Linked DNA regions of Notamacropus eugenii. The protein of the gene in region 1 interacts with the protein of each later gene in a pairwise test. Links are inferred from orthologs where the notes say so. Each region holds a gene or a part of one and is shown on either strand. Other genes may lie near its edges.

Region 1 (12,405 bases):
GTGTCAGTCAGCTAGCATTTATGAAGTGCCTACTAAGTTTGAGACACTGCATTAAGTAGGTGCCAAGGATACATAGGAAGGTCAAATCAAGCCTACTGCCCTCAGGGAGCTTCCAGCCCAACAGAGGAGGCCACATGAAAACAGCCTCCTACAAACAAGCTGCCAACTGGAAATCAGGAAGGCTTTCTGTAAGAAGTGGCATTTTGGATGAGGATGTTCTCCAGGAGGTGGAGATGAGGAGTGGGGCGTTCCAGGCAGGAGGCACATGCGCATGGGAAATAGAATGACTGCCCCCTGCTGCAGGTGAGACAGGGTGACCTTGTCAGTGCCTCAGACTTCCCCATAGGCAGTGGACCCAGGAACCTGTAGGAAGCAGGGCCTTCCTCCCCTGCCTGGCCCCTTCTTCTTTGGGGTCCAACAGTGGGAGGGAGAGGAAGCCCAGGTGTCTAGGAAGCTGGAGGGATATGAGGCTAAACCGGACTTGGGGAGACTCCAGCCCTGCCCTGGCCACTGACCAAAGCCTTCTCTATTCTTTGCTGGGGTGGGGGTGGTGTCCTTTTCTCTCCAGCTACAAAGCTGAGCTTGTCTCTCTTTGTACCCTCTGGGCTGGGGGCTCCAGGAAGGAGACAGTATAGGACCTAAGCCTTGGAGGAGAAGAGGGATGGGTTAGATGTAAGAGTAAGGAGGGTGCTCCAGGCAAGTGGAAGACTATAAGCAAAGGTAGGAAAGCTAGAGTGCAGGCCTGTGAACAGGGGCTGAAGCGATTGGGTCAGGCCGAGGTCAGTTGGCATTTATGGGCCAGGCAAGATCCAGGGCAGCTCCTCCCTCAGAAAGTCAGGGTGTGGAGGTGGCCCCAGACAAGTTCAACTTACTATCCCTCCCCCATCACATTTGCTTCCTATTCCCCAGCCATTTGGTCCCAAGACCTTTCTTCCAGAACCTTCCTTAGCTTCTGGAAATTGGGAGCAAGTCCAGTCTCCTGCCCTGGCTCTGGTCCCGCTGAGCCAGTCTCACCTGCTGGACTTCCAGGTCCACCAAGTGCCAAAGGTAATCATTGACAGGAAGGACAACGAGAAAGATCCTCCTCCTCCCTGTCTCCTATTGATCATTTGTCGCCTCCTGTCCTTCCCCTCCTGATCTGTCCTGCCCAAGTACCCAGGCATCCAGGGCTGGTTGTGGGAGGAGCCTGGAGGCCGAAGCCCAAGCAAGGAGGGGGCTTTCAGCAGAGAGCTGTCTTGGGTCTCTACGGCCTTCCGCCCATCTGAGATCTCAGGGGAATGAAGGGGAGGGGGTGCATGGGGAGCCAGAGGAGGGTGGGGGGCTATCTATGCAACCCAGCAAGGGACCCACTCCCCTCAGGGAAGGCTGGCTTCTGACCCTGGTATCATTGGAAGTGGTTATCCCCTTCCATCCCCTTCCCTTGAACCAAGGGGAGGGCGCTGAGGCCTCTAGAAGGAACCCCAGGGAGGCTCCTGCTCCCTCCTAGCTCAGCTGAGCTCCTGGAAGCCTAGAGAAAGCAGAGATCACCCTGTCAAACTCTCTCTTTTTAAAGAAGAGGAAACTGAGGCAGCCTGAAGAGTTTTGTCCAAAACAGCAGTTTGTTTTTTTCAGTGTCTTTCCACAACCTTCTGCTAGATAAAGACTCCCTTTCCCCACCCCATCAGCCCCACCCCATCCTACCCCACCCTCTTTCCTGGCCTCCAAGGAGAGTTTAATGCCCACCCCCATGGCATGGGGGAAGAGAAATGTCTCTTTTTATGCCTAGACAAGTGGAGGCTCCTGGGGCAGAATCATACCTCCTTTCTCTCCTGCTCCCTCCAAGCTTGCCTCACTGGCCTCATGTACAGAGCTTCATGTCCCTAGGAAGATCCCTGCCTCTGTTCCCACCTTCCCTCAGCACCAGTCACTGGTTCCCTGAGGGACAGGTGGCATTTATCTTCCCCTACTCACTTAACTCTTATCCTCACTCATCCCAGACTGGTCTAGCTCCACTATCCAACCCAAGTGGGACTATCCAGGGTGAGACCTGGCACCTGAGAACCTGCCTTTGAGACCTGGTCAAGTGCCATCTCTCTGGGTCTCAGTTTCCTCATTTGTCAAAGGAGGGGGTTGGACAAGAGGAGCTGCAAGGTCCCGTCTACTTCCTTCTATTGACAGAGGACCTGAGTGGTCACATCTCTGCTTCCTTGGTCCCTAGATAGCCCTGTGAGGAGCGGTGTTGGGGAGGGGGAAGGGAGGTGGAACAGGGCGGCGTCTGTTGGTCCTGAGACTGAGAGAGAACCACAGGGGAGGTTAGCCATGTAACTTGCCCGCTTGTCATGGCATGACCCAGACTTTCCAGTGACCTGTTCTGGTCTGGAAGTGGACCCCACATTCCAACTAAAGTCCAAACTCCAGCTAACTGGGGGCCTTGGCTAGCTAATCTTCAAGCCTCGGCCAAAAGGAGGGCGTTTGCTTAATCACTGGGCTCAGTGAGGTGTTGGCCAAACATCTGAAGTGCTAATCATTGCCCACCTCTGGGTGCTCACTGGGTTTGATTAACAAGTCTGCAAGCTGTCTGTCTCCCAGGGCTGGTCATGGGCCAGGGCTTCCTCAGAGGCTGACTTTAGCAAGAGGGTTTACACACTCACTCACACGCACACACCTGTCTCACAATCTGGAAACATTCTGTGGCACGTTCCTCTCTCATCCCTGGCTCGTTTAGTGAAGAATCTCTGCCTCTCCCCCTGCCCCCCAACATCCTGTCAGCCCCTGCTGGGGCCTCAGCTCCCAGGCTGGGACCCCACTGACTGGCTCAGCCAGCCCCACCCCCTCTTTCTTTTGTAGGCTCTGGTCCTACCCAGGGCATCACAGGGCAGTGGAAAGGGGACCCGAGGTTCATGTCCAGGTTCATATGCCCACAGCCTGTGTGACCTTGGACAAGTCACTGCAGTTTCCTCATCTATAAAAGGAGGAGATTGTACTATATCCTATCATCTTAGTTCCTGGACCCACCTCCTAACTCTCTATCTGCCCCCCAGATCACTTCTGATTCATTCCCCTGACCAGTACCCCTGCCCTCCCTCCCCCACCCTGTCCAGTCTTCTGGAGTATGGCTCGGCTATGGGGAGCAGGGGAACAGGTCTTTTGAGATTCTGCCCCTCTCTGCCCTGATGTCCCAGAAGGGAAAGAGAACTGAGAGGGCCGACAGTTGTTACTAACGGGCTTGGCTTTGGGGTGTTCTCAGACACCCTTGAATAAAGGCCACCCTACACTGGTCCCCTCTACAGAAAGTACCTCAAGGCATGCAAACAGCCTGTGGGGCCACCCTTAACCCCTCCCATCCCACCCCACCCCCACCCCCACCCCCGGCATTGGGGAAGAGCCTCAGCTGGATGCCCAGTGCCTCCTAAGGTGGGGAGTCATCCTCGAACCCAGGCGTCCCTTGGGTGAGAGCCAGACCCTGTAATGGGATTTCAGTGACAGCTTCTTGGCTGCGGTGCCTTGTGTGTGCCACATTTCACTGACCTTCGGGGGGCCCAGAAGCAGCCAAGCAGAGCTCTCCTAGTACAAATGGGCTGAAGGACCCCGCCCATGGTCCCCCCATCCCCAGGTATTCCTCTCCACAGCTTCCACCCTGGCTCCCATATTTGGGGGGTGGCTCGAGAACCGCGAACGGAGCCCGCTTAAGTCTAAACCGTGCGTGCCTGCCGCCTCCCACGACTATCCCACTCTGAGTCTGGGGAGCAGGGACGCAACTCCTCCAGTCCGCCTTCCTAACCTCTCCCCATCAGAACATCCCCACGCCAAACTTGAACTCTGCTCTCCTTCCAGTTAAGAACCTAGTTAGTTCTCAGGCAAGAAGCAGGAGTTTGGAAGCTCTTTGCACAGAAGAAACCCAGGTGATAAGGCAGGGGGAAGGGGAACACCTGACAATTCCAAGGTTTTCATTCTTCTGACCTCCCCCCTGCCCCACCCCTCAAATACACAGAGGTTTGGAATAAGATGGGTAAAAGGCTGAGTTCAGACAGGTTCATGGCTTTCAAAATATCCAGCTGCTTGACCGAATTTGGCCAGATGATGTTTTTCTCCTTGGGTCTCTGTGTGGGTGGGTGTGTGCACTGTGGACATTTTATAACCAGGGGCTCAGAAGCACCAGGGAGGTAAGCCCCTGCCCAGGTCTTCCCACTATGGTGTCTGATTGTGGCCAATTACCCAAAGAACCACCTGTGGTGGGGGAGCATTGAGTCACTCAAGAGTTCCAGACAAGTGGAGGAAGGCATTATCAGCCCAGCCCCCTTTGCTGTCAAAGCCCTTCCTCAAGAGCAGGTCCTGGGAGAGGGGGTCTGGCCCACTGGCTAGCATGTCCTGCCCCAGCCTGGGCTGTGGACAGCATCTTAGGAGGCTATGGTCTGCCCCAAGGTGTGATGCCCTGGGGCAAGTTTCTCCCCAGTGTGAGCCCCAGCTTTCAAGGCTGGTCTGCAGCCCCACCCGACCCCCGGCCACAGGGCCCCCACTCACCCCATTGAGCCCGAGGCTGTTGCCAGGGAGGTTTGACGTGATGCCGGAGAGGATGGCCGCGGCTACAATGGCCCCCACACACTGGGCAATGATGTACACGATGGCCCGGAGGATGCTGATCTGACAGCTGAGCAGGAGCCCCAGGGTGACGGCAGGGTTGAGGTGGGCACCGCTGATGTGGCCCACGCTCTGCGCCAGCGTGGCGATGCTGAGGCCGAAGGCCAGTGAGACTTTCACGTTGTCCTGGGTGGCACCGGAGGTCTTGTTGCCCTCCACTGGGTAATTGTAGCCCAGGGCTGAGCCAATGCTGATGAACACAAAGAGGATCATGGCCAGGAACTCAGCCACCACTGCCCTCCAAAAGATCTTCTTTTTGAACTCACTGGCCATGGTGCCCCGACCTCCACCTGTCTTGTTCTGTCCTGCCCTGCCCTGCCTCAGTGGCCACAGATGGTTGGCACCCTGGTCCTTGACCTCAGAGCCTGAGCAGTGCTCTGGAGAACAGCCGCCTTCTGGGGCTATTTATAGGACCTCGGGGAGGGGGCAGGGGAAAGGAGGAGGAGGAGGGAGAGGGTGTAGCACAAAAGGAGGAAGGCTTGGCTTTCCTTGGGGGCCGGCCGGCCAGTGGGGCGGGAGGAGGGAGGCAGAAGGAGAGATGGATGGAGAGAGAGTGCTGCCTGAGTGAATGCCAACTGTTGGTTTTTTCCCTTCCTTCTTCTCCCCTCCCTCCCCAGCCAGACTGGGGAGGGCTCCCCAGCTGCTGCGGCCGGCAGGGGCCAGGGATAAGGCTGGCAGCTCTAATAGGCTTTCTGAAATTCTCCTAAACGGCCTCTTGGTGCACTCTGAGGAATGCCAGCATGCCTCCCTCCCGGGGCTCCTTCCCCCCAAGCCTAGATGCCCCCCTCTCCAGGATGGAGTTCTGGTGGTGGGGCTGTGCTGGGCCTTGGCACCAGGATGCCCTCTGCCCTTGGGGGGGCAGGGTGAGCCCTTCTCCCCACTGCCCCGTTACTTGGAGGGAGGCCCAGCAACAGGGCTTCTTGGACAGGCCAGGCTGCTGGGGGTGGAGGGGAGGAGGGGCAGGCTGGGTTAGGCTCAGTCCCTGGCCCAAAGAAGGGGCCAGATCACTCCCCAAGCCCCCACCCCCACCTCCAGGCCAGAAACCAGTCCAGGGCCCCTCCCCTCTCCTGTCCTGCCTCCCCTCCCCCCTACTTGGAACAGGGCTGGCCAAGCCTGACTGAGGGCACAGAGGTCTGAGGGAGCCCCCTCTACCCTACCTGCCTGGGGGGGGGCGCTGTCCCACCACCCAAAGACTGCTGCTGCAGGCTCACCCTCCGGGTGCACCAGATGAAATGCACTTGTCCTGTTTCCTGGTCAGAAAAAGCAGCCCATTCTGCCATCTCCAGGGAGACTGGACAGAGGACTCTGGCTGGGGCTGGGACAGAGCCTGGGCGGAGAGAAGAGAAAGGGGAGGGAGGAAAGAGAGAGGGATAGGCAAGACAAAGAGCAGGAGAAGGGAAAGGAAGCCAGGAGAGGTGAGGAAAACAGAGAAGAAAGGGAAGGGGAGAAAAAAAAAAAAGAAAGAGCAGCTGGGTGGTGCACGGGGTAAAATGCCAGGGCTGCACTCAATGCCAGAACTGAGTTCAAATCCAACCTCAGACACTCACTAGCTGTGTGACTCTGGCACCCTGTTTGCCTCAGTTTCCTCATCTGTAAAATGAGTTGGACAAGGAAATGGCAAATGCCAAGAAAACCCCTAAGGGGCAATGAAGTCAGACACAGCTGAATACAGCTGAATGCCACCATTCAGGGTTGTGAGGATGTCTGGTACGTGGTAGCTGCTATGTAAATATGAGCTACATTTTCTTAAGGAAAGAGATAGAGGAGAATAGAAGAGAAATGAAAAGACTGAGAGGAGAGAGGAGAAAGGGGAAGGGGGGAGGTTCAATGGAGAGGACAGAAAGAACCCAGGTGAGGGGGAGATAGGGCCATCATTGGGCATGGGACTAGGGGAGGTGCCAGCCTCCCGAGGAGAAAGGGGAAGTTTCTTTCGGAACACTCCTTGCCATCTGGAGACTCAGCTCAGATGTTCCTACAAGAGGGTAAGTGTCTGCACCCATTAAATGTGGGCAGTGCCCCCAAGCACCCCTGCCTCACCCCAGAGGAAGAGTAAAAGAAGAGAGGGGAAATGGGAGGGGGAGGAAGAAGAAAGTAGGAGAGAAACAGGAATGTGAAAGAAAAGGAATTGAGGAAAAAGATATAAGGGAAGGGGGAGGGGAGGAAGGAAAGGAGAAGGAGAGAGGGACATGCAGGGGAGATAATGAAGGAGAGAGGGGAGAGAAAGAAGCAGCGAGGAAAGAGACAGAGACAGGAAGAGAGAAACACAACGAGTGCTGGAAGTCTCAGGGATGGCACAGAGAAGGTCAGAGATAAAAGGATGAAAGTGGTTGGGTAGGAAATAAGTCTCTTGGCAGGGACCAAGGAAGGGGTTTTTGTCCGTCATTCTTCTGTTCTGCCCTCTCCTCACCCCTCCCTGAGGTATGTGCCCTTTCAAAAGCCCGGATTTCCTCTCCTTTTGCAGACACTCACTTCAAAGGTGGCAATAGGACAGGGCCAGATTTAAGGGAGAGAACAAAAAATCCAGTATCGAGATCAGAAGGTCCATTAAGAATCAGCTCAAATTGTTTGGTCCTTCCTCCCCCAGCCCCAAGGATCTGTCCTGAGTGCTTCCTCCCACTTACGTAACTGTCCTGCTTTATCCACACTGTCTGGACAGAGTTGAGAATAGAAATCCAGGGCTTCCTGGGCCTGGGGGCTCTGAGCTAAGAAGAGGTCCTGACGCCAGACCTGAGAGAGGTGAAGGACGTCCCTTGCTCTCTGTCTCTACAGCTCAAGGGAGGGGGAAGGGCACAATCCCATCTCCCAGGCCAGAGTCTCAGAGCCCAGTATCTGTTTCCTAGGGTCCAGGATCTGGGGAGAGGGGTGGGAGGGACATTGGCTGGGCCCACTCGCAGGTCAGAGTGGGCCAGCTACCCCTAAGGATGACTATACTCAGAGACCCCTTTGGTCCTTTCATTTGAGTCCCATCAAGACTCTGACCCCCTCCTAGTTACTAGTGGCTAGTCCTTCAAAGCCCTCAGACAATGGGTCAGTAAATATTTATTTATGAAGTCCTTGCTAGGTATTGTGAACACAAAAGCAGGAAAGTCCTTTCCTCAAGGATCTTACATTCTAATGGGGAGAAAGTTTATAAAGGGAACTGAAAAGGTGGGGGTAGGATGGGGCAAGTCTGAGAGGAAAGAGCTGGGGCTGGTCTGGGTGCCTGCCTGGGAAGAGTCAAGTCAGAGGGAGAGGCAGAAGGGCCCTGGAAGGCACTTCCTGAGTGTGAATGCTGACCACCGAGAGCTTCCAGGATGAAGGGGTTTCTGGGTCCTGGTAGAGAAGGCCTAGGGGGCATCCTGAAGGGGAGGGAGGAATGGCCCTGCCCGCAGCGTTCTCAGCTTTCTTGTATATTTTGTGTTCCGTGGTTTTTCCTCCAAGACAATGTGAATCCCTTGAAAGCAGAGTGTGTTTATTTTCCTTTTGGGGGGGAGGTGGAGATGGTTCGCCTTTGTATTCCTAGCACCAAGGACAGTGCCCAGCCTGAATGAATTGATTGATTGATTGATTGATTGAAGTGGACTTAGGCTGGAATGGGGGTGGGGAAGCCAGGACCAGCTCTGTTCCAGAGCTCAGCCTTTACAAGTGGGCAGAGTGATAGCCACAGTATAGGGAGGGCGGAAGGAATTGGCTCTGGCCCACTAGGAGGAGGTCAGCGTGTCTAAAGAAGTTGGTGGTCAGGAGTGGGGAGTGGGCAAAGAGATGCAATGGCAGTCATGAATGGGGGTGGGAGAAGCCTGGAATCCAGAGCAGGCAGATTCCAAGGTTGGCCTTGGACAAATTCCCTCACCTCAGTTGCATCATTTCTAAAATGGGGGCTTTAGACTAGGTAGACCCTGAGGTCCCTGTGACCCTGAGGCCTAGGCTCTTTTGTGGTCTTTGCTGATAAAAGCTTGTCACACACAGGCTCCTGGGGAACCCCTGACATCAGTCCCAGAGTAGAGTAGTGACCCTCTGACATGGGGACAGATAGGATTAGGGCAGTCACACTAGGCCAGAGCAGATAGCAATGGAGCGGGAAGACTAGCCCTATGAGATGCTGGGTCACTACTGTCTTTGTCCCTCCCCCAGGCCCTGGCTCACCTCCTCCAGGAAATCCTCCCCAGTGGAGGATTGGGAATGGTTATCCAGTAACCCAAACATGGTTGGGTGGGCTCCCATCTCTTTCCCTCACCCTTTGGGATGTCTGGGTCTCTGCTGGGCTGATTGATCTCCCAATGCACGGATCTCCCTGGGGGCTGACAATACCTCCCCCAAAGCCATGCCCACCTCCTCCATCTTCCAGCATCCAGCTGGGCCCAGAATTCTGGCTTCCTCAGGGTTTGTGGACTTGAAGAGACAGGGAAGGAAAGAGAGGATGGGCAAGCCCCTGGATGGAGCTTAGGGCTCACTTCTGCAGCAGGAGGAAGCTGTGGAATGAGGAGCCCCTTCTTCAGCTCCTTTACATGGCATTCCAATGTTCAGTTCATGACAGTCCAAGAAAAAGAAGGACCCAGCAAGTCCCCAACCTACCTGAGCCCCCATCCCTTTCCTTCCTTTCTTCATTGATGTTCTAATGATTTCTCAGGGCCAAACAGCTCACCCCTACTAAGCTCCTGCCTCCATGCCATGTCCCATTGACCCTGCCCCCAAAACTATTTCCCAAGCCTCTCACCTCCTCGATTCCCACAGCCCTGAGCACTGCTGGACCAGACTGTTCAGAATCTCAGCATCATTTGAGGATGCTAATCCGTAGCCAGGGTCCTATTATAGATTCCTAGATGTGGCTTTTTCTCATTCCCCAGACTAAGGTCTCTCTGAGAGCCAAGGTTGTTTCCCCATCGGACTGGAGGTTTTCTGAAGATGGGAGCTGGGTCTTCCTCCTCACACCAGAGACTCTCTAAGAGATAAGCCATTGCCTCCCCTACTATCAGGCAGAGGAATCCTGAGTGTAGGGTGGTTATCTTCAAGAAACTAGATATCCAGGGAAATCAGAAGGACACCACAGATATTAGGAGAAAAAGCCAAAGGATTACAGACCCATGGGGTGAGGGAGGGCTTTGAAAAATTAAGAGCAGGTGAGGAGCCCCAGGCCTGGAAAAGGGCAGTCAACAGGAAGGATGGCAGCTCTTCAGAACACAGGCTAGTGGCCTTGACTTGACTTCGGGTCTTGGTGCCATGTTAAAGAAGTAACTTATGAGGATTTGGTAAGGATGACCCCTATACACTATCAAGGGCTCGATAAGAACATGCCCTACTGCCTGCCTTTCTGTTGTTGCCCTGGAGGCTAAACAGGCTCATCAGAAAGCTTCCATCGAGGTGTTTGATGTTTTTTCGAAAATTGTGTGGACAAGGGAGGGAGAGAGACACCCATCTTGAGGAAGGTCTCTAGTGGGGTGCCCTAGGGCTCTGTTCTCAACCTGGGTCTGTTCAACATTTTTATCAGTGAATTGAATGAAAATCCAGCAAGGCTGCTTGTATAATCTGTGGACACCATGAAACTGGGAAGGGAGAGCTAACATGCTGGATGGCAACTCTGGGATCCAAAAAGTTTCAGGCAACTAGATGGCGTACTCTATTGAGTGCTAGACTTGTAGTCACAGATAGGAGTTCAAACCTTTCTGGCCATTTTACCAGTTCCATGTAAATGGCTTAATTAGCCTCAGTTTCTGCATTTATAAAATGTAATGTTTATAAAACAATTGCAAAACGTGATCCAATGAGATAATATTTGTAAAACTCCTGGCGTATAACGGATGCTGTATAAATGCCCATTCTTTTTCCCTTCTCCTAAAATGTGGATGATAATGTGCCTACTTCACAAGATCATTGTGGAGATCAATGAAAATATTCGTAAAGCACTTTGTAAATCTTAAAATACTATAGAGAGGGTAGGTATTATTGTCATAGTCTAGAATTTCATACAGATAAATACAGATAAATGTAAAGTCACACATCCAGGTTCAAAAAGCCAACTGAAGAAATAAAAAGGGAAAGAAATGTGGTTAGAGCACAGTACATCTGGAAAAGCCCCAGGGGTCAAAGTGGACCACAAGCTCAATATGAGTCAAAGCCAATAAGACTAGGCTTTATGAATGGATTGGGCCCCAGCATGAGGAAAGTGCTAGTCCAGCCATCCTCTGCCTCACCTAGTCAGATGATAGCTCGGGGCCAAATATTACTCGGCAGTTGTCACCAATGGGGAAAGTATCCAAAGCTGTGTGAATGGGATGGCAAGAGGACTGGCAGGAACTGTGCCCTGGAGAGGAGAAGTGTGGGGGTCCTTCCCATATATAGGAAGGGCTGGCATAGGAAAGCGGGATTCATCTGGTTCTGCCAGCCCCTGAGGGCAGCACTTGAGCAAGAAAGAAGGACTCCACCACCCCTGGCTCTTTTCTACAACAAGACTTGGTTAGAAAACTTTGCAGGTCTAAGCTGGGAGCCAAGGCAGACCTAGAAATCCACTCTGCTCCGAATCCACTCCACCCAGAAGCTCCTGAAGCCCTTTGGCAGGTGCTAGGTAAACACAGGCTGATTACCAGCAGTTTATGGGTTTATAGAGTGGTTAGACCAGTGCCTGCTTCCAGCAGAAACTCCAGCTAACCCTGAAGGAGGGTTGAGTACAGCAAGAGGTGAGAGGACAAAGTGGGAAGTCACATGGCTATGATTCTGTTGGGGTGGAGGTGCTGCTGTCCTCTCCCCAGCCTCATGTCCATTCTCATTCTTGTAGACAATAAAGCCCTCCAGCTGGAGGAGTACTAGACTCATACAACCATAGCATATAAGGGCTTCAAAGCCCATGGATGGGAGCCTAATCTGGGCCACCATTTTGTGGTGGACCCGAGTAGTGAGAGTTTGCCAGAGTCCCCTGAGCTACCTGAAGGCAGGAGCTGTTCTCAAGGCCTGTGGATGCTGGTACTGAAGGTGCTGGGGCCAGAGCCAGAGAAGGACCCTCAGGTAGTTCCCAGTCCAACTTGGAAGTCAAGACCCAGCTAAAGTTTACCTGGGAGAAGACCAATGGTGTGAAGGCTTTGAGGATCCCAAGATCTCGAGGACTTCACCTAGCTTGAGGCTTTCAGGCAAATCCTGGAGCTAGTTACCAAAAATCCTCATCTCTTTATTACAGCAGGCCCTGCAGGACCTCAGCTTGGCAGCACGTGGCTCTAGCGCTTAGTGGACCAAGGAGGAGAGCCAGACAAAGTCCTTGGTGGAGGAGACGGGAAATATTTGGGCAGCTCTGCTCCCCTGCCCGCTACCGCTAAGCAGGGCCCTCACTTCTCAGGGCCCACCTGACCCCACAGCCCCCTCCTGGCTGTGGGGCTCCCAACACTCGGCTCTGCTCCCTTGCTTTCCCCTTCTGGGATCACACTTCCTCAGGACACCTGCTCTCCAGGAGATAGGCAGCTAAGGTAAAGGTCCTCAGAACACGCATCACTTCTCTGGGGCATAGTTTCATTTCCTCAGAGCCTTCTGGAGACACCTTCTTAGCCCAATGGAATGAAGCTCAGGCCGTGCAGGATGCCTGAGGGAGAGAGCCTTGGGAAGGGCCCTCTGGGGCCATTGGGCCAGCATGTTCTTGCACTTTTCCCATCGCTTTGCACGCTGACATCCCTCCTGCTCCTCGCATTCACTCATGTACTTGTTCACTGATTCACTTATCAAACATTCATAGAGGAAGCCCCCAATGATGGATTCCTGCTTGGCGGCCAGAAAACTGCATTTCTCTGAAACTGTTTTGGAACGCTGACTCTTCCCGCTCCCAGCCTGACC
Region 2 (12,519 bases), on another chromosome or scaffold:
GATAGATCATTAATGTAGCTGCATTTCTTTATATTTCATGCAGAGATCTGAAGGAAACATTAGAGGGGTGATCTCTTCATCATTATTGGAAATAATTTCTGAACTATCACAATTACATAAAAAATACTTGGATAGAGTGCTCTTGGGAAGGCTGCGCTCTTCCCTGGACTCTTGAAAGGAAAAAAAATGGACAGTTTTAGACTTCATATAAGTTAGCACCTTACCTGTTTGAAAGTAGTAAGTAAATTAGTTTGACTGAACAAACATTTACTGAGTCTTTATCCCATATGGGTATTGTGCCAGAGACAAAGATGAGTAAGACACTATTTTTGCCTTCAAGGAGTTTATAATCCAATAGCAAGAAAGGACAGGAACACAGCAATTATGATACAAGTATAGTACATGACAAAAAGGGTACAATAGCCCTTTTGCAAGCACCAGATCTAACTATAACTACCTACAGGATATTTTCAACTCAGTGTTCTGCCAACACATTAAACTCAACATAACTCAAAATGAGCTTATCATCTCTCTTCTCAAACTCATCATTTGTTCTGATTTCAACATTTGTTAGTGACACTACCATCCACCCACTCTGCTATATTCAAAACTTTAAAGTTATTTTTCACTCTCTCCTCTCCCTTAATTCTCCTATCCAGTTAGTTACCAAGTTCCAACATACTATCTCTGAAATATCATTCACACCAGTGCCTCTTCTTTTTCTCCTTTCTCTTCACTGGTTAGTACACAGTAAGTACTTAACAAATGCATTTCATGGATTCATTTCTCCTGACCCCAGTCTTGAATAAGCCCTCAAGACCACTTGCTTAGAATACTGAAACAACCCACTTTCATTTCCTTCAAGGTTCTAGGCAAGTTGTAAAGGAGGTGCCAACATGCGCTGGTGAGAAGGGACTGATATTCTCATTCAGGAGTTGCCCAAACCAATAAAATCATAGGTCCAGGCACTATTGCTAGAGAGGGATTGTGATCTGTATTAGTAGAAATTCCCATACCAGTGAAATCATAGGTCCTTGAAATGTAATATGTTTCTCCCTCCTAGACCATAAGTTCTACCTGAGCAGAGACCATGGTTCATCTAAATATTGTATCTCTCCCAAGCTTGCCAGAGGGTTTTAGACACATTTCATTCATTCTGATCTAAGGGTTAGGTGATTAATTTATGCAACTCTACTCTACTAAAAGGTACAGCTATGTGGTATATTAGATAGAGAGCTCGGCGTGGAGTCGGGTAGACTCATTTTCCTGAATTCAAATCTGACTTCAGATACTTCCTAGTTGTGTGACCCTACACAAGTCACTTAACCTGTTCGCCTCAGTCTCCTCATCTGTAAAATGAGCTGGAGAAGAAAACAGCAAACCACTCCAGTGTCTTTGCCAAGAAAACTCTAAATCAAGCCACAAAGAGTCATGCAACTAAGAAAACAACTGAACTGCACCCTACTAAAAGTAAGTGAAAAGATGCCTAATCAATCAATTTCAATTATAGGCCCAGTCAAAGTGTGAAAAGTCCTAACTGGAATGATTTTTGTACAACCATATTCAGACAGGCTAAAGAAACTTGGTCATGTACCAGGAGTCTACAAATTATCAAGTGGATTTGAGAAGACATTCATTCAAAGAGTTGGAACAAGCATGGAATTTGGCTAAACCCTGTGAAAAAAGAACTTCTTAGAAGGAAGGAGAGATCTCATCTCTTGCTTTAGCCTAGGTTTACCCTCTCCCTCCATCCCCTTTGTCCAGAGCACATTTCAGTGGTCCAAAGGGTATTAGACTTCCCATCATCTTTTTGGTATCCTAGCAGCGTATCCTCACATCAGAGGAAAGAACCATCTGTATCAAAAGTCAAGGACAGACTAGATGCACATTCATCATGTTTAAGGGGAGTGTAAGAGTACCCCAAAAGTGAAATCAAAGGACTTCCAGTAACTAGGAGCTATAATTTTATTTATTTTTTTTCCATATGTGCTCTTTAAGCTTGAGCCCACTTTCCTTTACCCTGGACTACTCATACATTTATGGAAGGTTGTGTCCTAGACTTTTGAGTGGATATTTTGAACTAACTTTTCTTAATGCAGCTCCTTAGTAAATACCCCTTTCTAAATGATACTTTGGGCTGGCTGACTAAATGATTCCTTCCCTTCAATAATCATGGGAGGAAGTATACTAGTGAGGGCTTAAGTCAAAGTCATTAAAGTATCACCCCTGATCCTTAAAGCATACTCCCAGACCCCTGAAGGAGGGATGTGGCCAAACTCTGGGGACCCATCTCATCAGTGAGGAGTTGAGATAAGAATTCTCAGAGATTATATATAAAAATATTTATCTTGCTGGGGCAAGGTATTACGCTAGGTACCTGAGATGCAAAGATCATTAAAAAAAAGAAATAGCTCTTGCCTTCAATATGTTTATTTTCCACTGGGAGAATACCTCTGGTGAATCAGTAAGGTTTCCTATAGTTGGTGGCACATGAGCTGAGCCTTGAAGGAAGCTAAGAATTCTAAAATGTAAAAGTAAAGAAGTAGATTCTAGGTGTGGGGATGGGGTAGGAAGGAATGTGGAGGGTGACCTGTGCAAAAAACAAAGGTAGAATATGGGATGCTAAATCCTGGGAGCAACAAGTAGGCCAGTTTAACCAGAATATAGAGTCCATGAAAGATAGAATGTGAAGTAAGTTTGTAAAGAAATGTGTAGTAGGTGCTTTGAGTCTCCTATTGCATGAAGAACTCTAGAAGGAATGAGTACAGTTATGTCACAGGTTTAGTTATAGGTGGAAATTTCTACATGAAAAGTCTTGTTATGTTCTTATCAGAGGTCATCTCATCTTGCCACATAATCCCAATGTCCATGTACATTTCAATAATCTCCAGTATAGAGTTCTGCATTTATAAATCCAAAAGGATGGAGAGAAGTTCTCATTAGTATAAAATGAGTCAGTGATTTTAGAGTTTCCTTCCTATTTCTACCCCCAGTTTGAGAATGCCCTTTTTGTTTTATTTTCATTCTCTCCAGAAAAGGACTTGGTCATCTTCTGAAATATGAGAGGAAATATGTGAAAATCTCTAATGCAGTGTGATCCTAAAGCTTAGCTAGCTCTAGAAATAAAATGGAAATAGCATAGTATAGTAGAAAGAGTACTAGCTCTGGAGTTGAAGGACCTTGGTTCAAATCTTGCTTCTGATTGCTACTAGCATGACCATGGGCAAGTTACTTAACTCTCATGAGTCTATTCTTATCTGTAAGTTGGTGGGGTTGGACTAGAAGCCCTTTGAGGCTCTTTCCAGCTCTAAATCTATGATTTTATGATTATATTCCCATGTTGTTTCTCACAATTTTATAATTGTTCCACATGGATGAGGTTTAATAAATATTTTTTGAATATTCAACTCATGGCTCTCAAAGGAGAGAAATCAAATGATCTGGGAGGCCACTGGGTAAAGGAGAGAATGGTCACATTCTATTGCAAGGCCAGAGGTTTACTTACTTTTTGTTAGTTTAGTCTAGGCATTCTATTTGCTCTTGTTTACTTTCCAGGTTAAATAATGCCCTGCTCAGAGCCTTGTATTTTGGGGCCCAAAGAGTTCAGCTGTACTACTGAACAACGTCTTGGATGATTATTTTCTGGCAATCTTTCAAATGACCAAAGCTGCTGAACTATGTAAAACCATTTCAGCTCTCCTGCTTACACAAGGCAATGGTTTTCACTTGTGGTTTTGAAGACAAGATTTCTTGAATCTGCCATTTTGTTTTCTGCATGCTTTGCTATTTTCTGCCCAAAGAAAGGAAACAAGCCTCACTGAGTGCCACAGGAATAATCTCACCCTATGATATTTGCTCCATTCACTTGTAAATAAAGGAGTGAATGTCCTGAATTTGGCAGACTTCTCAACAAGTTAACAAGCATTTATTAAGTCCCTATGTGCCAAGGCCTGTGCTAAACTCTGGGAATACAAAGACAGGCAAAAAAACAGTTTCTGCTCTCATACATTCTACAGGTGAATGAAGAAAGACTATATGCAAACAACTATATACAAATAACATATACACATGATGAACTGGAAGTAATCTTAGAGGGAAGGCATGAGAATTAGGGGGGATGAGGAATCTTGCAGAAGGTAGGATTTTAACTGGGACCTTAAAAAAGCAAGGAAAGCTAGGAGATGGAGATGAGTTAGGAGAGAACTGCAGGCATGGCAGCCAGCCAATGAAAATTCTTGGAGTCAGCGGATGTACTGTCTAGTGTAAAGAACCACAAGGATGACATTGCCACTGGATATAGAGGAAAATATGGTGTAAGAAGACTGGAAAAGTTGAAAGAGGGTAGGTTATGAGCTATGTCCTCATAATATAACTATTTATTGAAGTGGCATAGTGCCACAAAGTTAGTCTGGTATTTGTGACTTGGTTGGACTACAAAATGACAATTCTGCCAAGGTTATATAGTTAAATAAAACTCGAGGCGAAGTTTGCCGTTGGCACCTTCTTTATCTCTTCTTATATCTGAACAATGAATCTTTTTTTCTCCTTACTAGTGGCTGTGTTCCCAATCCTTTCTAACCCTGCTCTCCCAACCTCACCCTCCAACTATGCTTCATGTCTTACCTTCAGTTAACTTTTAAGGAATCTTATTAGGATTGATAAGTAAGTAGTTAACAAACATTTCTTAAAGACATGTCATTTAAGACTATTTGAAATCAAGTGTTTCATACATAAGAGAATGAAATGTATGGTGGCATGACGTGGCAGGTTTGATTGGAGGTTGGAAGGCTGTTCCCCTCATAAATCTAGTACCACAGAAGCAGTCACTTTACCTTGTACCTCTTCCTAAAGTCCATTTTATCTGACCCAAATTCTAATTTTATAAGGGAACTCCAAATGCAGAGTGAATAGAGGGCCATTTTTGGAGTGTGGAAGACTTGGGTTTGAGTCCTACTTTGTTTACAGGGACTCAGACCTCAATGAAATTTTATTTGTCTTTCTGGCCACCTAAAAAGGTAGGATAATAGAGAAGAAAACTGCCTGCATTCAACTGTCTAACATCTTTGTATCTCTTTGATGTGCAAAAAATGAAAACAAACATACCCTTTCCTCCTATACAAATGAAACATGAAATGGTAAAAGAAAACATTTATTCTTAAAGAACACATGAAAATAAAAATGTAAACTTGTAAAACAACTTAAATCAAAAATATATGTGTACACATACATATATATATCACACTAAAATTCATATCTGCAAAGTTCAGTTTCACAAATTGTAGCATTCCCCTAATGCAGCATATTTAAAGTTTATTACTGAGAACGCTTTTTATGTTTCACTAAGATGTTAAAGTTTTTAATTTTTATAATTTTGACATCAGATCTTTTTTACTTAAAAGTCTGAAATATTCAAAAATTGTTCATGCTGTATGTAAGAGCATTTAGGTTTTATAAAAAAAGAATAAGAAAAATTTAAATGTACATTTCATCATAATTAAATAAAATTGTAATCCAAATTCCCAAATAGCAACTTTATTAATAAAAACATCCACACTTTAAAATAACTGATTCAAGATGAATGCAAAGCATATAATAAGATGAGAATACACTGTCATACTGTCAAAGAGCAGAAGTGAATAGTTATCTATTATCAGAAAACCTCAGAAATGTTTGGTTTGCAGAACAAATTCACAAGCCTTTATTCAGAATTGCATATGCACGGAACGTGATGTGCATATATGTATAAGTGGCTAAGGATTACAATATAATATAATTATATGCTGCCCTGAATGTGTAATTAGTAGTTCTTAGGTTAATTAGAGTCTATATTGACTGATAACTGACAGAATGCTGTATATCATTATTATTTTCTTTGAAATTCACTGAACTTACAATGGATGTGAGAAACAATTGACAAATAAGATACTACGGAGAAAGGACATATGTGACATATGTTCCCTAACCCAGTAATTTGTACCATCCTCCCATTTAGTCCTACTTCACTAAGAACTCCCTCTATCACAGTGCACCAAATTGATCCTCCAGCTCCTATCTGAAGATCAATAGTCACAGAGATCATGAGATCATAGGTTTGGAAGTGATAAGCAATTTAGAGGCCATGAAACTCAGCTGTCTCATTTTACATACAAGGAAAATGAGACACTAAGTTACTTACTCAATATCACACAACTAGTAAGTGTTAAATGTGAGATATGAATCAAGTTTTCCTAACTCTGATTCCATAACTTTATCTTAATTTTAATCTATTTAAATAAAAAATAAAACCTCTATACTTACCGAGGCAGCCCATTACATGTCTGGATAGCTCTAATTTTTAGGAAGTCTTGTCTCATGTTAGCTGTCAGCTTCTCTGAAACTTGTACCTATTGCTCTAGTCTCTACCCTTTAGAATCAAACAACAATACTAATCTAATCCTTCTTCCACCTGACAGTCATTCAAATACCTGAGGTCAGCTGTTTTGTCTCTTCTAATTCTTCTCTACCTGGATAATACAGCTTTTCTTCCCACTATTGATACTTATTTGGCTCCAGTACTCTCAGTATCCTCCTCATCCTTTCTAGTCTGTCTATGTAAAATGTGGAAACAAAAACAGAATAGTACTCCTGATGTGTTTTGAGTAGGGTGGAGCACAGTGGTCCTTCAGCTTTGATTGTCTTAGATGTTATTTCTTTAAGGCAATCTAGGATAGCATTACCTTGTTTTGACTAACATACTACCCCATGGGCTAATACTATCACATTTGCAAGCCACCAAAGTCTCCAGATCTTCTTCAAATGGGCTGTTAAATCATTCTATCCCCTCTTTATTCGTTATCCAATGAAGGTGACCACCTTGCCATCTAGAACTTTCAACTAAGCAGTCATCAATTAAAATGTTATATAGCATAGGGCCAAGCATAGCTCTCTTAATAACCGTTCTTTAGGTTGAGATATTAAAGCAGTCTCAAATATACCTTATAACTATTATCTGGCCTACATCTGAGTATATTGTTCACAAAATTAGCATGAGGGCCTTTTGTCAAATGTCTTACTGAAATCTCTCAGTCTAATAACCCTATCAAAAAAGGAAACAAGGTTTATTTGATGGAGCCATGCTGTCATTTCCATCCTGAATGTTCACAAACCATTCTCTTAATATGTCCTACAGTTTTGTTAGAAATAAAAAATAAAGTTCATGTTTTGTTTTATTTGTTTTGCACACACTACTTCCCTTCCTTTTTTTGAAAATCTGGTCATTTGTTCTCCTGCACCATCTCTCCTGTTCTTCTTACTGTCTTCCAAATATCACTGATGGGCTTAGCAATCATGTTTTCCAGGTCTTTTCATCTCTCAGTGTAGTTCATCCATGTCTGATGTTGTGAACTCATTGAGACCATCCAGCTGCTTTTACCTTATTTGCTTTTGGTTTGACTGCTTTTTAAACCATGTTTATTCTTTAAAAAAAAAATCACAAAGATTTTTGCCCTGGCAGTGGAAACAGTATCAAAGAGTTGAGCAGCTGATTATGTGTCACCTTTGTTATCATCCTATGTAGCAATACTTTCTTCATTCCACCTCTTATCAAACACATCAGTCCAAATTTCTTCCAAACTAAAGTTGAGGCTGGATAGCAACTCAAAAGTCATATCAAAAGTCTGAGGGAAGGAATTAAACCACAAAATATAAAGATTAAAAACAATAGAGGGGACCTTTTTTTTTTTTCAAATGCTCTTTCAAAACAACAGGAGTGGGAGGAAGGAATGATCTCACAAAGAAGTGTGTCCAAGGGAGGGTTTAAATTTTAGCTTACATTGTGCAGCCAAATCTTTTTTCTTGGAGCAGCACTCTAGTGTCATTTTAAAAAATATTTTCTTTTCAAGTTTGATTTCCAGTATTATTTTTAAATCTTTTTTTGTCAGTCATCATCCATCTCATGTTAGTATGTTTTATTCTTTTTCCATGTAAGCTTTGACCCATAAGTCATTTTACAAAACCAGAGTAACTTTCTAATTAAAGATGAAATGATCACACAAGTTTCTATGAGATCTGTTTGTGTTTGGTTCTAGCCACTTCTCCAATTGATCAAAAGAATTTTGAATTCTAACTCCGTCTTCCAAGGTTTCAAATGAACTCAAAAGGGATAGCTGGGGCTATCTACTGAACTTAATGCTTGTCAATTAAGGGGCACTAAATAACAATTAGTTCAACTATCTCATTCTTTTGCCAGGATCATTAGATGCTACAATGAACATTTCCTCTTTAATTCTGAAGTCTCTATTTTCTTAAAATCAAAGAGTGGCATTATTAAAAATTGTTATTAATGCGAGTTGTTAGTTTTCCATGGTTAATGAAAGCAAGAAAATTGATGTTAGCATTTTTAGGGAAGCTATGTTAAAATATAGAATAGGTGATCTTTTTGGAGTAATGCCTCAAAAGGAAGCAAAATAATGTTTGAATAAATACAGTGACGGGGAGCAAGCTATGCAACCACTCAGTTCACTCCATTTTTATAAAGTTCTTGTTTGCAAAATCTGTCACTACATCCTACTCATTGGTCCTAGGTCTGCCATCTGGAAGTACATAGAATGTCTAATGTCACTGCCATGTGAAGTTTCCTTCAAACATCTAAAATTTTACATTCATGTTATCCCCCCACTCTCCCAAGCGATCTCCTCCGTCCCCCCAGATTAAACACTCCTAGTTCCTTCAACCACAGTTAAATATCATATAGCTTCCAGAACCTTCCTGGTCACCCTCTTTAACCACATTCTGAACAATTTATTACAGTTTATATTTATTAAATGTCTACTATATGCTAGGTTTGGAGGCTACAAAGACAAAACTGAAGAAAGGTCCATCCTTTCAAGAAGCTTATATTCTCCTGGGGGAAAACAATATGCACGTGATAATAGCTAAGATTTGTATAGTGTTTACTAGGTGTCAGGCACCATGATAAGCCCTTTACAATTCTTATCTTATCACATCCTCATGAACTCCCTACTGGAAGGTGGGTGCTATTAACCCCTCCCCCCACAGATGAGTATGTACAAAATAAATTCAAAAGAACGGTTCTTTTGGGGGGGTGGGGGAAGGAAGAAGGCATCCTTAAGCACTATGAAGGGAAGAGAGTTAGGGATTCCAGGCAGCAGCAGTAGAGAGGGAGAGCATTCCAGGCATAGGGGACATCTTATATAAAGGCATGGATAGGGCAGATGGAATATTGTGAACAGGCATCATTGAATAGGTCAGTTTGAAATGCAAAGTGCATTAAGAGGAATGGATATAAGTCAGTTTGGAAAGACAGGTTGAAGAATGATTGTAAAAGACTTTTTTCCTTTAAAAATAAAGCATCTAGAACTGAACATAGCACTCCCCAAAACAGGCTTAGTGGTACAGAGTTTAGTGGGAATAAAATCCTGCTGAAAACATCTATTCACTATTTATTTATGAGGCCTTGAATACATTCATTGATTTTGATGATTTTTTATTATTAATGCAAATTTCAATATGGAAACTACATACAAAGAACAGAAGACTATATGAAACTGTTAATGCTGACTACACAGGTTTTTATATTGAGATTAATATGACAATAATAAAATTGACCTTCTTGACCACTTCCCTTTTTGAGTAGACATTCCTGTGTTTAAAAAAATGGTTGATGCTTCCTTCTTTCTCCTCTTCCTCTTTTAATTTTTTTGGATGGCATCACTATTACTTTATAATTCTACCTCCCAGAAAAAAAGAAACTCTCCATTATGACAAATAATTCAACCAAAACAAATCAGCACATGGAAATGACTGGGTAGGGACACAAACTGTACCATCAACCAAAAGGATGTGTCTGATGAGAAACTACAGGGAACCTGTAAGTAAGCTAGACCAAATCTTGAGGCTATTTCTTCAATTCATTTGTGCAGGTGGGAAATATCAAACTGTTCTTTCAAAGTATTGGTTTTATATGTTTTACCAAAAGGTACAAATTACAGTTGGCCAGTTTATGACTATTCCACATTCTGGCAGAGAACAAACAAATCATGCCGGTGATTATATTTCATTCATCAGGCACAATGCATTACACAATAGTCTAAAAGAATCACAAAAAGTAGATGTCCACCTATACTGAGTAAGCTCTGCAGGACACCTTAAGTCTGTTCATTCTCTTTACTACCACAGTTAGCCTACAAGGGAACAGTCTTATATCATGCAAACAGATTATCTTATCTTACATCTATTACAGATACTTCTCATGGTTTCTGAACAAATGTCCATGTATACAAAGTTTTTTAGAAAATCAATATATACAAAATGAAACATGAAAAGTAAATTATCTAATTTTAAATGATCCAGTCATCCTAAAGATATGAATGCCAGTCATATACAATCTTTTTCTCCTTCAAATTTTAAATTTATTTGGCATGAACATGAGTGTTTCTATAACAAAAAATTCTTCATGAAAAAGTCATCAAAGATAAATAGGATGGTTCTTTTCAGCTAAAAAAGTAAAAGCTAATATTTTTTGGAATAACAGCTAAAATTTAAATTATTCTAATCAACAGTAAAAAAAAATGATAATCCAGAAAAGGCCTCATTATTATTAATATTTAAAAGTCTTAGCTGAAGTTTTCAGCTGTACATTCAAGTGCTCATTATAGAGGAAACTAAACAATACTCCCCATAAAAGAACACCCCCAAAACACATAGTTGAACGAACCAACTGTTTGCATTTGCATTTTCCCAGTTGGTTAGAAATGGACTTTAATATCAGCTCATATCTCTGTTTTTGTAATATTACAATCAATAAAATTCTAGCACTGTTTGGAGATTCTAAACCTTGGGGATTACCTCTTTCATGTATTACTGGCCTAGGGACAGTTAACATTTCTCTCCTACTTTTGTCTCAGCCTTATAGAAAGGACTAAAGGCTAAGCATTGTGCCAACTGGAAACTCAAAGATCTTTCAGTGAAAGAACTATTGACAGCTTTTGGATATTCTAGTCATTTAGTGACCTTCTTTCTTTAAGGTGACATCCTCTCTTCACCAGCCTCCCACATTCCCCATTCTCTAACACAGAATGTAACTATCACAAATGCAATAACATTAGAAACAAAGGCAAATTTAAAAAGACCTACTAACCTTCTGCTTTGCATTTTAGTATCAATTTCCCCTTTCCTTTCCACTATTTGTACTTTAATTTCCTTTTTGTCCCTTCCTACTCCCTAAACTTAACCAGCAGTTCATATTTCTACAATCAAACTGAAGCAAAAAAAAAAAACTCTAAAAATTAAAGACTATAGGAAAATGTCATTGTTTCATTTGCATTTCAAAGGACTCTAGTTTCCTATTGAGTTTTAGCAAATGATTAGTGTTATCCTCACAGTCTTCATTTTTTTTTAAAGCACACTTTTATAAGATAGAGTGACAATCTATTAAACCCCAAAGGCACAGAGGTAGTACCAGTTTTGACTGACAGCCAGTTCTAAACCTCCCTTTGTAATAACTTTAAAAAATGACAGCCAGGAAGTTTCCTTTCTTTAAACAGAAAATGTTGGGCTAATTGATTAAGTAGTACATTTGCCATTCAGATGATTACTGCCTTTCTTGCACAGTACAGTACAGTAAATGGGATACTAGATTTTGAGTATTTTTATACTTACTTTTTCAGACAATCATTCAACAAGCAATTATTAAATGCTAGGTGCCACCCAGCACCATACTGGGAATGAAAAAACAAAGATAAAACATTTCCTGACCTCAAGGAGTTTATAATCCACCTAGGGAAAAGAGCTTGTATATATATAAGCATATGCCAAATATATAAAAGCAGAAACACAGTAACTTGTTGGGAGGTGGGGGTGGGAAGATGCTAGCAAGTAGAAAGACTAAACAGGAAAAGATTCACATAGAACATTGTGTTTGGGTTTAGCCTTGAGGCAAATGAGATTCTAAGAGGAAAAAGGGAGAAGGGAGAGAATTCTAGGCAGGAGAGGAAACTATAGTAAAGATATGGTGATAAGAAATTAATAGACATATAAGAAACATTAAATAATTTAAGTAACTTCCATTGGACTATGGAGTATGCGCAAGGGAATAATGTGTAATAAGGTTGGAAAAGTAGGAAGTGAACAGGTTGTAAAGAGTTTAAATTCTTAAGAGAAGATTTTATAGTATGATCCTGAAGGTAACAGAGAATGACATCATCAAACCTAAGCTTTAAGAAAATCACTGACAGCTATGGGGATAATAGATCGGGGTTGGACTTTGAAATGAAAATATCCTCCCTCCTTTCAGCAGTCATGGACCAAACCTCCATGAGAAAAGCACACAGTAGGAATTGTCTTATATTGTATCTCCCTTATATTGTACTGCTTCCATAGAGCAGTGCTTCTTGAACTGTGGGTCGCATGGGGTCACGAAAAAATTGCAACAATAAAAGGTTTCTGAACACTCAATGACGAAAAATTAATTCAAAATCAAAAGTGTAATGAATTCAAGTTGTTTCTGGCAGCATTTGCATC

The links.
Region 2: the proteins of AQP1 (region 1) and RGS17 interact in binary tests that used the Homo sapiens proteins (3 or more experiments, as listed by UniProt). The two-hybrid records come from large-scale screens. The link is inferred for Notamacropus eugenii from reciprocal best matches to the Homo sapiens genes AQP1 and RGS17.

What each region holds. Positions count from the first base shown.
Region 1 is NC_092874.1:486,226,266-486,238,670, reverse strand, and holds the start of AQP1 (aquaporin-1), read right to left. Parts: upstream 5,008-12,405; 5' UTR 4,891-5,007; coding exon 4,501-4,890; intron 1-4,500. UniProt on the Homo sapiens protein: Forms a water channel that facilitates the transport of water across cell membranes, playing a crucial role in water homeostasis in various tissues.
Region 2 is NC_092873.1:245,565,144-245,577,662, forward strand, and holds the start of RGS17 (regulator of G-protein signaling 17), read right to left. Parts: upstream 6,463-12,519; 5' UTR 6,354-6,462; coding exon 6,298-6,353; intron 1-6,297. UniProt on the Homo sapiens protein: Regulates G protein-coupled receptor signaling cascades, including signaling via muscarinic acetylcholine receptor CHRM2 and dopamine receptor DRD2.